4 linked regions of the Arabidopsis thaliana genome follow. The protein of the gene in region 2 purifies or fractionates together with the protein of the main gene of each other region. This does not show direct contact. Each region holds a gene or a part of one and is shown on either strand. Other genes may lie near its edges. The genes, in order: AT1G50390, AT2G05830, AT1G06030 and AT1G06020.

What was found.
Region 1: the proteins of AT2G05830 (region 2) and AT1G50390 fractionate together in Arabidopsis thaliana (co-fractionation; one large-scale study listed by BioGRID). This does not show direct contact.
Region 3: the proteins of AT2G05830 (region 2) and AT1G06030 fractionate together in Arabidopsis thaliana (co-fractionation; one large-scale study listed by BioGRID). This does not show direct contact.
Region 4: the proteins of AT2G05830 (region 2) and AT1G06020 fractionate together in Arabidopsis thaliana (co-fractionation; one large-scale study listed by BioGRID). This does not show direct contact.

What each region holds. Positions count from the first base shown.
Region 1 is NC_003070.9:18,666,422-18,669,359, forward strand, and holds AT1G50390 (pfkB-like carbohydrate kinase family protein), read right to left. Parts: upstream 1,257-2,938; coding exon 1,119-1,256; intron 1,032-1,118; coding exon 984-1,031; intron 896-983; coding exon 779-895; intron 703-778; coding exon 565-702; downstream 1-564. Other genes in the region: AT1G50400 (Eukaryotic porin family protein), read left to right, coding at 1,734-1,860, 2,145-2,226, 2,309-2,414, 2,497-2,592, 2,687-2,737, 2,819-2,884. UniProt on the Arabidopsis thaliana protein: May play an important role in maintaining the flux of carbon towards starch formation.
Region 2 is NC_003071.7:2,227,601-2,232,662, reverse strand, and holds AT2G05830 (NagB/RpiA/CoA transferase-like superfamily protein), read right to left. Parts: upstream 3,125-5,062; 5' UTR 2,905-3,124; coding exon 2,833-2,904; exon of another isoform or gene 2,753-2,832; coding exon 2,697-2,752; intron 2,623-2,696; coding exon 2,464-2,622; intron 2,381-2,463; coding exon 2,281-2,380; intron 2,196-2,280; coding exon 2,053-2,195; intron 1,863-2,052; coding exon 1,757-1,862; intron 1,488-1,756; coding exon 1,349-1,487; intron 1,254-1,348; coding exon 985-1,253; intron 905-984; coding exon 824-904; 3' UTR 514-823; downstream 1-513. UniProt on the Arabidopsis thaliana protein: Catalyzes the interconversion of methylthioribose-1-phosphate (MTR-1-P) into methylthioribulose-1-phosphate (MTRu-1-P).
Region 3 is NC_003070.9:1,824,889-1,828,843, reverse strand, and holds AT1G06030 (pfkB-like carbohydrate kinase family protein), read right to left. Parts: upstream 2,042-3,955; 5' UTR 1,965-2,041; coding exon 1,560-1,964; intron 1,471-1,559; coding exon 1,138-1,470; intron 1,047-1,137; coding exon 930-1,046; intron 849-929; coding exon 714-848; 3' UTR 565-713; downstream 1-564. Other genes in the region: STO (B-box zinc finger family protein), read left to right, coding at 1-182; AT1G06020 (pfkB-like carbohydrate kinase family protein), read right to left, coding at 2,743-2,928, 3,003-3,119, 3,198-3,530, 3,895-3,955. UniProt on the Arabidopsis thaliana protein: May play an important role in maintaining the flux of carbon towards starch formation.
Region 4 is NC_003070.9:1,822,505-1,826,663, reverse strand, and holds AT1G06020 (pfkB-like carbohydrate kinase family protein), read right to left. Parts: upstream 2,415-4,159; 5' UTR 2,117-2,414; coding exon 1,715-2,116; intron 1,351-1,714; coding exon 1,018-1,350; intron 940-1,017; coding exon 823-939; intron 749-822; coding exon 563-748; 3' UTR 501-562; downstream 1-500. Other genes in the region: AT1G06010 (basic leucine zipper/W2 domain protein), read right to left, coding at 2,994-3,166, 3,254-3,317. UniProt on the Arabidopsis thaliana protein: May play an important role in maintaining the flux of carbon towards starch formation.

The sequences.
Region 1 (2,938 bases), on a different chromosome or scaffold from region 2:
TACAGTGTAAATTAGAACTCCAGTATTGCAGACCAATAAGTTTATGACTTGATCGTCAAGCATTTTACATATTCTTTTTCTTTTTTGTTCGCGTTGCTAAAGACTTAAAAGAGCAAATCAAAAATCTTCAAGTTCACACAATCAATTTATCTATTTGACAATAAGAAAAAGTAATTTTTAATAGTAATAATATACTCAAATTAATCTGTGAGATCTATATGCTTAATGCTTTGATGCTACAAACTTGATACTAAATGTGTTCTCTCTGTTTTTCTTGTTTTTTTTTTGGTTTCTTCATGATTATTACTCTGTTTTCAAAGGCTTGAGAAACAATTCTAAATGCAATCTACGGTTCCAAACAACTACGAAAAACTATTTGTTTTCTATTAGCAAGAAAAGCTCAGAAGCCATAAGTTTGTTTTATTCAATACAATGAAGAAGAAAAAGAAAAGACAGAGAGAGAACCAAAAAAAAAAAAACATTACAAATGATCAGAATCATCAGGAAGAATCCAGAACAGATTATTACAATAGACAAGGAGAATTCTAGACTCGAAGATAAGTTTTACTGTTCTACTTGTCTCTTAAGAAAGCTGAGAGCTTCACAATCTGTAGGAAGAGCAGGAATGGCTCCCTTTTTAGTCGTCGTGATTGCTCCACAAGCATTTGCAATTCTAAGCACTTTTCTCAATCTCTCTTCCTCCTAGGAAAATAAAAATCAGTAAATATCATCAAGATTCATTTGATTAAGTAGACACACAATATCAATGGGAGTTAACCTCGAGTACAGATTGATCATCAACAATCTGGTTTAGAAGCGCGCCAACAAAAGAATCACCAGCTCCAGTAGTATCCACAGCGTCAACATGGAAAGTTTCAACAGATCCATGGAAATCCTACACAAGAGTCAAGAGAACATCAATCAAAATCACACACCAAGATCTTGATAATGATGGATTCATATGAATGTTTGTGGTACATTACCTTAGTGTAGTAACGACATCCCTTTTCACCGAGAGTAACAAGTAAGAGCTTCAAATTAGGATGTCAAAGAGACATAGCTGTCTCATCATCGATCGTTTTATTTCTTGTCAAGAACTCAAGCTCGACATCACTGACCTTAATGATATCAGCCTTGTCCCATATGCTCATGATCTGAGTCCTAGCTTCTTCAGGTGATGGCCAAAGAGGTTCCCTGAGATTTGGATCGTAGGAAAGAAGAGCTCCGGCTTCTTTCGCCTCTTCCGTTGCCTTCATGTGAGCTGATCTACATGGCTCTGTTATCAAACTTATTGATCCATAGTGAAACACTTTCGCCTGCCAAATAAAGAAAAATATGCAACAAATCTCCAAAACAAGTAAATCTTGTTTTGGAGATTTGTTGACTATTTGATGATCTTCTTAATTGTTTTGTAAATTTTAGTTTACTATATGAAAATAAACTTGTAATTAATATAATTACTGATTTTTCGCCACCAAAAGAAAATAAAATAGTGAATTATGAGCATGAGGGTAAACCGGTAAAGTATATGACCCGAAATAGGTCGGTTCCAACCCGTTTCAAAAAAGTAAAATAAAACCGGGCCAAACTAAGATTGACACGATTACAAAACCCTTGACGCACACGCAGAGTCAAAACCCAAAAACCCTTGAAAGACTCTTCGTCTTCGATTCCTCTGCAGTTTTCTCTTTTAGCGACCCAAAAAAGTTCTTCCTTGACGGTAAACAGCAGCGATGGAGGGCTTTTCACCACCGATTAACACTGCGCAAGTCGATGCAAAGACCAAACTTGACGAGAAAGTGGATTACTCAAACCTCCCTTGCCCTGTCCTCTATGAGGAACTCAACCGTGAAGCTACCAGTTCAGTATCACCCTCTCTCTCTACTGCTTTATATATTCGTTCTCTGTTCTTTTGGAGATCACAATCTGTCTCTGTCTTAGGTCGCTGATTTCTTGGTCTTTTATATCTCTGCGTTTGAACCAACAATCGTAATTGAGTGTTTTGGTATTATGGATATGTTATTATGCTTCTGATTCTACCAATTCGTAACCTTTACATCTGTGGCCATAACCTTTTATAATGTATTAACTTAGCCTGTGATTTTAAGATCATGTGTTTTGACTGGTTTGATTTCACTTTGCAGTGGCTTTAAAGCCAGAGCTATTTGAGGGTTTCCGCCTCGACTATAACAAGTCGCTTAACCAGAAGTTTTTTCTCAGCCATAGGTAATGAGATTTTAGGTTAATTTGTGGCACATCATTCTTATTTGTGTTCTTAACCAAGCCTGTGTATTGATGCTTCCAACAGCATATTGATGGGGCCAACTGAGGTTCCTAATCCAACTCCATCATCCGAAATAATCAAAATTCCAACTGCCAATTATGACTTTGGTGCTGGTTTCATCGATCCAAAGGTATGTTGTTTATTGATTGTATTCTGTGGTACTATTAATGGTTTCCATCAGCAAGATATAACATTTACAAACTTCTAAACAGCTATATCTTATCGGAAGGATCACGACGGACGGTAGACTAAATGCGAGAGCCAAGTTCGATTTAACTGACAATTTTTCCGTCAAGGCTAATGCTCTGGTAACCAGAAATTATTGTGTGTCTGGTCTTTGTTGTAGTAGCTGCATAATGTTTTCTTTCTATCTATAACCATATTGTTTCTTTTCTCTGCCAGCTGACAGATGAAGAAGATAAGTCGCAAGGCCACCTCGTCATTGATTACAAGGTGAGGGCTTTTCTCTGTTCAGTATGTTTTTCCTTTTAGCTTTTATTTGGTTTTGACAATTCACGGTTTACACCTATTTAGGGGTCTGACTACAGAACTCAGCTTCAGCTTGGAAACAATTCCGTTTATGCAGCTAACTATATTCAGGTAAAGTGACTATGCTTTACCATTTTAAACTGTTCTACTAAAATTCTGTGGTTA
Region 2 (5,062 bases):
ATTTGCAGAATTACGTTTTTCCGTCAAAATCGTAAAATCGGAGAATTGTATTTTTCCCGTCAAAACCGTAAAATTTAAAAATTGCGTATTCCAGAAAATTGTGGAATACTATCTTTCCTTTAAAATCGTAAATAATTTAATAAGAAATAATTCATTAAAATTTAAAATTTTCAGAAAAGTAAAAACTTATAAATGTAAAATATATTATTTAAAAATTATTTAGTTGTAATTGTAATTAAAATTATAAAAATACAATTAAATGAAGACATGTCTATTGACTCAATTCATGCCCATGGGCAGCCCGTTGTCCATATGGTCAAGCCCATATTATCCGTGGACAAAACTGGTCATATGCCCAATTAGACCATTTGTTTTTTGGTCCAGAATATAGCTCGTCCATATGCATTTGGTCTAAAGTTCAGAATTATCAAAAAATTGATAAAGTCGAGGCATTTCGAATTGTTTGTTGACACAGAACAAGGAAAACCTCTGAAATTATTTCAATATTGACGGGTAGGAGAAACGGTATTCTTTTCTTAAACTTAAAAAAATAGAGAAATAAGAACCAAGTCAAGATGGACCGGGCAAGCCCATGGACAAGTTGTTTTACACTAAAACAAGTTGTTTCCCAATCTTCATTAGCATTAAACCCAAGACCAGCATTTTGGCTACCTACAATTGGCTAAAACGTATCGATTATTTCTTATTTTTGACAATTTTTACCACAGTGTACTTAGTAGCTCAAACATTACAAAGTAATTTGCTTTGTTGCAAGTATATAGAGAGAGGGGAACATCCGCAAGTCGCAATGCTGACTCTAACTTCAACGAGATGAGTTTCCTGTTATCTTCTTGGCAAAGCTGCTTATGTCAAATGTATCATTGCCATTCTTTGTTATGACCCCCTGCATATACAAACACGTTGAGAGATTCAAATAAATGAGCATAAATATCTTCCAGAACAAGCAAGGCTGGAAAAACGAACTTTCTCGGTTATGATTCCTGCAATCAGCTCTGCTGGAGTCATATCAAAAGCTGGGTTCCAAACTGAGATCCCTGGTGCTGCAATGCGTTCACCAAGTCCTCCGTGTGTGTGCATCAACTCCTTTGGAGATCTTTCCTCTATCACGATTTCTTTCCCGGATGAAAGTGACAGATCAACTGAGGTAAGAGGTGCAGCAACATAAAATGGGATCCCGTGATGTTTTGCGCACAAGGCGAGACTGTAAGTCCCAATCTTGTTAGCAGTATCGCCTGGAGTATATCAATGAATTGGTTAAGAAGTGATTCAGTCATAAGGAATCAGATTTGTGAGAGAAAACGGATTTATCTAAGGTGTTTGAGTGTACCATTTGAAGCCACACGATCAGCTCCAACGATGACACCATCAACACGACCATCTTTCATCAGTGCAGCTGCAGCTGAGTCTGCAATGAGAGTTGCAGGGATTTTCTCATGCACCAACTCAAACGCTGTAAGCCTCGATCCCTGTCAATTGCCATTTAGTCATAAATTCAAAAGACTTTCAACAACAGTTCAACAAGATATGAAAACTCTATAAAGCAATGGATTCAGGGAGCTGCCACAAGAAGTATCTGTCCTACGTTCCTTCATGGTTTTGAAGCTTTTACCACCGTTTTGATAAGAACACATATGTCAATATAGAGGTAATTATCGTCCCTAACAACTTAAGGTATTCTACGGATTCTTCTTCTTACGATATTGAGAAAGAAAAAGTATTAATTTAGGAGTTTTACTTGATTAAATGGACGAGTTTCTGTGCAGTATGCTCTTTCTAAGATTCCTTGAGTATGGAGTGCACGGATGACACCGAGGGCAGTACCATATCCGGCGGTAGCAAGGCTACAAAGTCAATAGAACTCGTAGTTAATGCCTTACTAGGAATCTACCACATAAACATAACACCAAAAACCATTACACAACTCTATTGGTTGAAGCTGCATACACATATGTGGTAACATGCTATTACTCAACTTGAGTAACTTATGCAGACGGTATCTATGCAATTCAGAAAATCTAGCTAAATCAATACCTGCCAGTGTTGCAATGGGTCAAAACAGAAAGCTTATCAGGATTCTTGGCTTGTTGCCTCAACAAGCTTAAACCAAAGTTTCCTATAGCTTTGTTTGAAACAACATCATCTTCAAGCATATCCTCACTAGCTTCAATATATGCCTGAAGAACAACAAGCACAGAGAATGAGCTAAACTTACAAAAGCAAAAGGCACACACACAGATGAATTACGAAACTTCTTGATACCTTGAAAATGGATTTGGCTTCGGTGGCAGTAGCCAAGGCCTTTGCTATAACATGTTTAAGTTTCAAAGCAGCATCTGCAAGATTAACTGCTGTTGGACGGCTGAAGAAACAAACATAAAAAGCAAAAGACATTAGAGTAAGCACCAAAGATGCAAAACTTAACTAACAAATCCAAAATCTAACCTTGACACTAAATAATCCAACTTGTTCTCAAGAAAAGCAACAGCATCTGAAGCTGATCCATCAAAACCATGAAAGTTGAAAACTTCAACAGCCAAAGAAAGAGCAGCAGCAATAGCTATAGCAGGAGCACCACGTACAACCATTTCCTGAATAGCACTCCTACCAAAAGTATCAAACTTTTTAAACCACAATTTTCCCAAAACAATCTCTAATCATAAAGGTAAAGACTTTACCATCCATCTGAAGCATCACGAATCTCTAAGTAAATAGTCTCTAAAGGAAGCTTCCTCTGTTCCAATTCAGACGAGTAAACAGATTTGAGGAAAAAAAGTATAAATTTGAAAACTTTATAGAAGTGAAAGAGAGAACCTGATCGAGTAACTGGAGAGAGCCAGGCTTGTAACAGATAGCTTTGAGGGTCGTGTCTCCTTCGCCGGACATGGTAGGACTTGTTGGAGAAATCTTGAAGACGAATAAGTTGTTTTAAAGATTGGTTTAGAGAAAGAGGAACAAAAGGAAAAGGATTTGTGTCAGTAGTGATAGTGAGAATCAGATAGATGCCTAGAGCACCAAGCCGGCGTGAAACACACCAACCGACGTCGTTTTGTCTGGAATAATGGTAGATATATTTTAGTTAATTTAGGGCGTGAAACAAGCTGGTTTTAAACAAATTAAAAGTGATTATTGTTTATAGTTCTTTAGGAGCAGACTGCTTATCTACCTGTAACCTTTTTAGAACACATGTGCTTTTAAAATATTTTAAGAAACTAATAGTAGTTCTTTAAATTGTAATCACTTATTGTTGTGGGTTAATACTTTATGATTATCTAAATATCAGTTTTTAAATTTTAATTTAATTTTAAGATTACTAAAATATTATTTGATTATATATCATATATGATTTAATGTTATTTAAATTAATAATCCTCCCTTTAAAATTGATAGAAGTTTAATTTTATTATTACACCCAAAATAATTTTAATAGAATATAAATAAATAAATAAAATATATGTATTCATAATTTCGACATATTTTGGTCGGCAAAAACCATAAGGCATAGTGATATACTCAAACTTCATCAATTTTATTTCGGGTGCTTACAAAAAAAAAAACTTCATAAAATGTATAAGGTTCCTTTAACTAATATTTTTTTTTTCTTTCAATGCTTTGTCAAGCGTTTTTTCCTCGATATCAAAGCCGGATTCAGAGTATTCGATTTCACAAAACAAAATTGTCTTTGACAATATCTGATGTGGTGATGTGAAGTCCTAAAGTATTTTTTTCCTTGGAATCCTGTGTAGATTGTAGAGCAGACAATTGAAAAAAATTATTAGTTTTATCATATCTCATTCTAATTGAACCAGTAATGAAAACGAAAGTGACTACTTCTAAATTCTAATTTACAAAAAAAATGTATCATAAGAAATATCGTAAACGCCTACAAATAGGTTTCATTCCTATCGTTTCTCATGTTATGATTAAAAAATTAATCATAAGAGATATGGATATGAACTATATATCAAAATAATGGAAGTAAATAAAGAGAAATGAAAATTATTCAAAATTACTTATGAAAACAAACTTTGGAGAATTAGGCATGTTTTTTCTATCTTGTTTGCTACAAATGATTGGTGAATAAGAACTATATTCCCAGAAATTTTTGGGATACCTTTAATCTCTCGTGTCTGCAAAATAGTCGGCACAACAAATAAAAAATACCAGAAAATCAGAATTATTATTAGTTTATCAACAAACAAAAAACGTTTCGGAAGCATTTCGACAAACAGTTGGTAGACAAAACTTTTAGCACACGTATGAGATGGTTTTAAAATCATTCGAAAAGGGCCAACGAAGTCTTTTCAACTACATATCCTTGTGATTATATATTTTTAATTCACGGTAACCAATAAAAAAAGTTTAATGCATTTTTATGAGTAATGAAAAGAGTAATTTGACAAGTGAGAAGTTAGATGTCAAACTAAAAATAAGCATTTCTTTTAGCTCAGAAAGTAATCATCTATAGTAGAAAAAGGTTTTTTCTGAACAAACAAACTCACAATGTTGTCAAATTTTCCTTTTTTTCTTCTGAATTACATTATTTCAATTGCCAAACATAATAGAAATTCATTATTCTATTTAACCAGTAACCAAACACACCTAAATTTATTCTGTTACCTGAAAAACTTAAGCGGGACTGGTGCGGGTTTAGGTACAATAACTAAAAATATTTTGTATATGTTTTTAATTATAATTTATTTTTAATAACATAAATAAATTTAAAAATAAATGAATCATGGATGTGATCGCATTTTCGCTTCATTTCTCTGCTTTTATTAGGGCTTTGTTTCTTCGCTAGGCCTCTTTCATTTCGCATAGCCATCTCTCTCTCTTCTGCCTTTTTTGACTCATTGTTCCATTAACTCTTCTCGAGACACAAAACAAACATCAAATCAAGTTAATTAACAATAATCTCTTTTTCTATTGTAGATGAAGAAGAATGTATGATGAAACTCCTCTGTCAAAAAGTAAAAAAAAACAGAACACAAGGTAAAATTATCGAAATTGTTGGAGATTTTTTTTTGCTATGCCATCTTATTTT
Region 3 (3,955 bases), on a different chromosome or scaffold from region 2:
GTGATCAGATTAATGACAAGGCTCTTCCTGCAGCTGAAGTTCCTGAGCTTTCTGTTTCGCATTTAGGTCATGTTCATTCATACAAACCTATGAAGTCAAATGTTTCACACAAGAAGCCGAGGTTTGAGACCAGATATGATGATGATGATGAGGAACACTTCATTGTCCCTGATCTTGGCTAAAAAGCTATATGTAATCTATGTGTAGACATTCTTCAATGTAAAAGAACAAACAAGAAACCTATCTGCATGTGTGGAGTTAATGTCATATACATTTTAGTTTTGTCTTAAGTTGTGTAAGATATGTTGAGAGCTTATAACAAATGTCTGTGTTTGAGTTTTGTTCATACCTCTTGAACATGGTCTATGCTTAATGCTTTGATGCTACAAACTTGATACTAAATGTGTTCTCTCTGTTCTTTCTTGGTTTTTTTTTGTTTGTTCCTGATTATTACTCTGTTTTCAAAGCCTTGAGAAACAATCCTCAATGCAATTTACGGTTCCAAACAACTACGAAAAACTCTTTGTTTTCTATTAGCAAGAAAAGCTCAGAAGTCACAAGTCTGTTTTATTCAATACAATGAAGAAGAAAAAGAAAAGACAGAGAGAGAACCAAAAAAAAAAAACATTACAAATGATCAGAATCATCAGGAAGAATCCAGAACAGATTATTACAATAGACAAGGAGAATTCTGGACTCGAAGAGAAGTTTTACTATTCTACTTGTATCTTAAGAAAACTGAGAGCTTCACAATCTGTAGGAAGAGCTGGAATGGCTCCCTTTTTAGTCGTCGTGATTGCTCCACAAGCGTTTGCAAATCTCAGCACTTTTCTCAATCTCTCTTCCTCCTAAGAAACGAGAAAAATCAGTAAATATCATCAACAATATTCAGTTGATTGAATAGACACACAATATCAATGGGAGTTAACCTCGAGTACAGATTGATCATCAACAATCTGGTTTAGAAGCGCGCCAACAAAAGAATCACCAGCTCCAGTAGTATCCACAGCGTCAACATGGAAAGTTTCAACAGATCCATGGAAATCCTACACAAGAGTCAAGAGAACATCAATCAAAATCACACACCAAGATCATCATGATGATGATGAATCCACATGAATGTTTGTTGTACATTACCTTAGTGTAGTAACGACATCCATTTTCGCCAAGTGTAACAAGCAAGAGCTTCAAATTAGGATGCCACAGAGACATAGCTGTCTCATCATCAATCGTTTTGTTTCCTGTCAAGAACTCAAGCTCGACGTCACTGACCTTAATAATGTCAGCCTTGTCCCAGATACTCATGATCTGTTTCCTAGCTTCTTCAGGGGATGGCCACAGAGGTTCCCTGAGGTTTGGATCGTAGGAAAGAAGAGCTCCAGCTTCTTTCGCCACCTCCATCGCCTTCATGTGAGCTGATCTACATGGCTCTGTAATCAAACTTATTGATCCATAGTGAAACACTTTCGCCTGCCAAATAAAGAAAAATATTCATCAAATCTCCAAAACAAGTAAAATCTTGAAATCTTGAAAACAGAGATCATAAAGATTTTACGTACGGATCTGATTAGTTCGAGGTTGAGTTCATCTGGCCGGAGAAGCATATCGGCGCTGGGATTCCGGTAAAACATAAACTCTCGTTCTCCGTCAGAACGCAGAGTCACAAAAGCGAGTGCGGTTCTTGCTCCTTTATCGAAATTGATCCCCTGATCGTCGACATCGTTCTTTCTCAAGATTCCGGCAAGCATATGGCCAAACTCATCGTCCCCGAGTTTTCCGACGAAGGCGGCGCGACCTCCGAGACGGGAAACAGCGATAGCGACGTTTGCTGGAGCACCACCAGGAGCTTTGAGAAATCCAGAGGATTCAGAGAGGGAGACGCCGGATTCCGTGGGCACGAAGTCAATGAGCATCTCGCCGAAGCTAACGACGAGACCTTTATTATCGCCGTTGGATGACGTCATTTGAACAAGATCGATTTTGTGTTCCAGAGATCGAAGAATGAAAACGATAGAGAGAATGAAGAGTGAACGAAGTTTTGAGTAGTTTATATAAGGCTCTAGGAGAGTGAAGACAGGGTTTAAATCTTGTTTTGAGGTCATATTTCTTCACATTAATGGCTTTTTATAAAGAAAAATGACAAATCATAAATAATTAAATCCTTGAAGGTTTGAAAAGTGGAATATATAAGTTTATTTAGAAATTCCAGTTATACTATATCCTGATTTCAGATATATTAACATTTGAGCAAAAAAAAATTCTATCTGAATATCATTTTTTCCATAATTGTAGTTGATAAAATTCTTAATAATTAATGTATGGACTACCTTTTGAAACAAGAAATTTTAAAAGGTTCAATGAATTCAACGTTTCTATATGGTTATGAAACATTCCTATATGGTTGATCATGGCAATTAAAACATTTGGATAGTTGATGAACACAACACTCTTAAATTTAATTCAAATTATATGGATTCGTCTATATATCTATGAATACACCAACAAATTTTTGATATAATGGATTAGATGGATTCGTCTATATATCTATGACTAACAAAAAGGAAAATTTGGTGGAGCAGCAAATATGAAATAACAGTTCTTTGACTTTTACATTCGGCATTGGTTCAATTCCACTTTCGCATAAACTTAGGTCTCTTAAATCTGATTTAAAAAAAAAACTGTGGGATCTTTTATTTCAAATAAGACTTATCAGCTTGGATCTAAACTCACACAAAATCAAAATTAACAAGGAGAAGCCGTACAACACCATTTTGAGAATTTAAGATTGGTTTGACGTTTCTTTTGGTCTTTAAGAAAACTGAGAGCTTCAATGTCTGTAGGAAGAGCTGGAATGGCTCCTTTTTTAGTTGTTGTGATGGCTCCACAAGCGTTTGCAAATCTCAGCACTTTTCTCAACCTCGCTTCATCCTAAAGAAAAAAAGATATCATCAGTAAATCGCATTTTGATCAACTAAGGAAGATTCATTCAGTTGAGTACCCACCTCGAGTACGGACTGGTCATCAACAATCTGTTGTAGAAGTGCACCAACAAACGAATCTCCAGCTCCGGTAGTATCCACGGCGTCCACATGGAATGTTTCTACCGATCCATGGAATTTCTACACAAGTGTTTTTGTCCCAATCAAGACTTGCAAAAGTAGTTTCTTTATTAACAAGTAATCGAAAAAGATGTTTACCTTTGTGAAATAAGTACATCCCTTTTCGCCGAGAGTAACAAGCAAGAGCTTAAGGTTGGGATGCCATAGAGACATTGCTGTCTTATCATCCATGGTTTTGTTTTCGGTCAAGAATTCAAGCTCCACGTCACTGACCTTAATGATGTCAGCCTTGTCCCAGATACTCATGATCTGTGTCCTAGCTTCTTCAGGTGATGGCCAAAGAGGTTCCCTGAGGTTTGGATCGTAGGAAAGAAGAGCTCCAGCTTCTTTCGCCACTTCCATTGCCTTCATGTGAGCTGATCTACATGGCTCTGTTATCAAACTTATTGATCCATAGTGGAACACTTTCGCCTGCACAAACAAATAAAATTTATATCAAATCGTATTTTTATTCAAATAAAGTCATAGCTTCATAACCTTCAACATCTTTTTTTTAATATTCATTTGTTAACCGTAAAAGGAAAGATTGGTTTGCAATTTACAAAATTTTATTAATTAACGCCTTGTATTGATTTAATTATCACCTTTCTTTGATTTACGTTTCAAATTATAAGAGTAAAATTAGGGTTAAAATTACACATGGCATATTATTACCGAAGGAAATTTATAAAATTGCGTGTTTTAGAAATTAAAAAACCTTGTAAGAGAAAAATGTAATAAATAAAAAGATAGAACGAGTAACAATCTTGAAAACAAAGAGAAAGATTTTACGTACGGATCTGATAAGTTCAAGATTCAGTTCATCTGGCCGGAGAAGCATATCGGCGCTGGGATTC
Region 4 (4,159 bases), on a different chromosome or scaffold from region 2:
GAATATATAAGTTTATTTAGAAATTCCAGTTATACTATATCCTGATTTCAGATATATTAACATTTGAGCAAAAAAAAATTCTATCTGAATATCATTTTTTCCATAATTGTAGTTGATAAAATTCTTAATAATTAATGTATGGACTACCTTTTGAAACAAGAAATTTTAAAAGGTTCAATGAATTCAACGTTTCTATATGGTTATGAAACATTCCTATATGGTTGATCATGGCAATTAAAACATTTGGATAGTTGATGAACACAACACTCTTAAATTTAATTCAAATTATATGGATTCGTCTATATATCTATGAATACACCAACAAATTTTTGATATAATGGATTAGATGGATTCGTCTATATATCTATGACTAACAAAAAGGAAAATTTGGTGGAGCAGCAAATATGAAATAACAGTTCTTTGACTTTTACATTCGGCATTGGTTCAATTCCACTTTCGCATAAACTTAGGTCTCTTAAATCTGATTTAAAAAAAAAACTGTGGGATCTTTTATTTCAAATAAGACTTATCAGCTTGGATCTAAACTCACACAAAATCAAAATTAACAAGGAGAAGCCGTACAACACCATTTTGAGAATTTAAGATTGGTTTGACGTTTCTTTTGGTCTTTAAGAAAACTGAGAGCTTCAATGTCTGTAGGAAGAGCTGGAATGGCTCCTTTTTTAGTTGTTGTGATGGCTCCACAAGCGTTTGCAAATCTCAGCACTTTTCTCAACCTCGCTTCATCCTAAAGAAAAAAAGATATCATCAGTAAATCGCATTTTGATCAACTAAGGAAGATTCATTCAGTTGAGTACCCACCTCGAGTACGGACTGGTCATCAACAATCTGTTGTAGAAGTGCACCAACAAACGAATCTCCAGCTCCGGTAGTATCCACGGCGTCCACATGGAATGTTTCTACCGATCCATGGAATTTCTACACAAGTGTTTTTGTCCCAATCAAGACTTGCAAAAGTAGTTTCTTTATTAACAAGTAATCGAAAAAGATGTTTACCTTTGTGAAATAAGTACATCCCTTTTCGCCGAGAGTAACAAGCAAGAGCTTAAGGTTGGGATGCCATAGAGACATTGCTGTCTTATCATCCATGGTTTTGTTTTCGGTCAAGAATTCAAGCTCCACGTCACTGACCTTAATGATGTCAGCCTTGTCCCAGATACTCATGATCTGTGTCCTAGCTTCTTCAGGTGATGGCCAAAGAGGTTCCCTGAGGTTTGGATCGTAGGAAAGAAGAGCTCCAGCTTCTTTCGCCACTTCCATTGCCTTCATGTGAGCTGATCTACATGGCTCTGTTATCAAACTTATTGATCCATAGTGGAACACTTTCGCCTGCACAAACAAATAAAATTTATATCAAATCGTATTTTTATTCAAATAAAGTCATAGCTTCATAACCTTCAACATCTTTTTTTTAATATTCATTTGTTAACCGTAAAAGGAAAGATTGGTTTGCAATTTACAAAATTTTATTAATTAACGCCTTGTATTGATTTAATTATCACCTTTCTTTGATTTACGTTTCAAATTATAAGAGTAAAATTAGGGTTAAAATTACACATGGCATATTATTACCGAAGGAAATTTATAAAATTGCGTGTTTTAGAAATTAAAAAACCTTGTAAGAGAAAAATGTAATAAATAAAAAGATAGAACGAGTAACAATCTTGAAAACAAAGAGAAAGATTTTACGTACGGATCTGATAAGTTCAAGATTCAGTTCATCTGGCCGGAGAAGCATATCGGCGCTGGGATTCCGGTAAAACATAAACTCTCGTTCTCCGTCAGAACGCAAAGTGACAAAAGCGAGTGCAGTTCTCGCCCCTTCGTCGAAATTGATCCCCTGATCGTCGACACCGTTCTTTCTCAAGATTCCGGCGAGCATATGACCGAAATCATCGTCTCCCAGCTTCCCAACGAAGGCGGCACGACCTCCAAGACGTGAAACAGCGATGGCGACGTTGGCCGGAGCACCGCCGGGAGCTTTGAGAAATCCGGGGGATTCGGAGAGGGAGACGCCGGATACGGTAGGGACGAAGTCAATGAGCATCTCGCCGAAGCTCACGATGAGACCTTTCTCGCCGGTGGATGATGCCATTCGAACAAGATCGATTTTCCGTTCGAAAAATGAAAATGATAAGAGAGTATAAAAATGAACGAAGTATGGACTATGGAGTAGGTTTTTATATAATAAAGGCTCAAATGGTTTTTAATCCTTTGAAGTCACATAATAAACAAGTCAATCCTTGAAGATATGTTTGAACTGAAACGTGGAATATCCAAGTTTATGGAAATTCCAGGTAGACTATATTTTGAATTTCTGATTTATTACCATTCCAGCAAAAATTCTTGTATCTGATTTTCATTTGTTCCATAATTGTAGTGATACGCCTACCAAAAAAAAAAAAAAAATGTAGTGATACAGCTTTACAGGTTCAATTGAATTCAACATTTCTACATTGATCATGGAATTTCGAACTTTGAATATATAGTGGATAAGAACAAAGCACTCTTAAATATCTATTCTCTCACTCAGTTTTTGACCTAAAATTCATGTCTCAGTATTGTAAAGTTTGTTTACCACCAAATTAAAAAAGTTTGTTTACCACCAAAAAATGATTATAAGTCATATGTAACACAGACCGAACTAAATAAAGTTGATGCCTTTTGGTAGCCTTGATTAGCATAGAACATAAGAAGAGAAAAGAAAATTTCGCTTAGCAACTTTATCATATATCATCCTTGCAAGGGAAAATATTCACACACGAAAAAACTGCTAGACACTCCTCATCAAGCTTCCTGAGCAATTCACTTTTCAAGTTTTATTTTCCTAGACACATCTAGAGACTAGCATCATCTACTCATATTCGGAAACTATTACCAAAACCATTAAAACATGTTTCATCACCTTCATGGAGAGCTGAAAAAGGAAGAGAAGAAAAGGAAGACAACACTAGAACCAGGCTCTTCTTTCTTTAAAGCTTTTCTGCAATCTCTCGATCCGACTCAGGCAAAACTGTTTCATCCATTAAGACGGAAGAATCACCTGCACTTCCGTTCTGGTTTTCTTTTGGTGCTTGTTCCTGGTTCTGGTTCATCATTGTTTGCATATCCTGCATTCTTGTGCGGACAACACTTGTCACCAATACTGCAAACCAGTAGAAGACTAGTCAGTATTAACACATACATATGATCTCATGACGAAATTCAGTGAATGTCAGAAAGAGAATCATACTAGCAGCAGTGCCGATAGTCCATACCCAGAGGATCTTCAAACCAGGGCTCTTCTCTCTTCCCATTTCCTAGCATCACAAATTCATCCCAATTTTTTTAGCAGAGTGACAAACTAAAACCAGACTACAGTTTGGCTAACCAGTGATCAGAAACCTAGACCAATTATCAAGATTTTGTTTCTTGTGACGAATCTAAACTAAACAAGAAGAATCATTCAATCAATAGATGGGGATTATTTGGTGGTTCCCTCATTGATTTCGATACAAAATAGTGAGAAAAAATGGTTTACTAGAGATCAAAATGCAGTAAGCAGAAACTGATTATAAGACATAACTGCAGAAAAAAGGGGTTTAGAGATTGCATAAACATCTCCCACCAGAATTTACACCACAAATTAATCGAATCCTAATTATAACAATCTCGTAAGACTCTAATCCCAACACATAGAGCCTCAAAAACTCGGGTTTCAGATAAACGAGAAACAAAATTACAAAACCCAGCTGATTTGAAACCGAACCCTAATTCTCTCAATACAGAGTTTCAGTAACTGTAATTGGCGATTAAAGTTTACAAAATCGAAAACCGATTGCTACTTTCGTTAACTCTAAAATGAGAACTGCTTGTGTTAAGCAAATCGACAAGCCAATGTAGTTCCCTTAACAAATTTTGAGACGGAAAAAGATCCAGAGAAAGAATCAGACAAGTATAGAGAGATATAAAAACGATACCTTTCACGATTCAAAGAAAGACCCAGAGGAGAGCTTGAAAGCGGTGAAGAACCCAGCGAGCGAAATGTCAAATGAAAGAGAGAGACCCGGAAGAAGAATACTCTATCTGGTTTTATTAGAACCGGGTTATTTAAACCGGTATCATAAACCCGAATTAAACCAACCTATCATTTGATTTC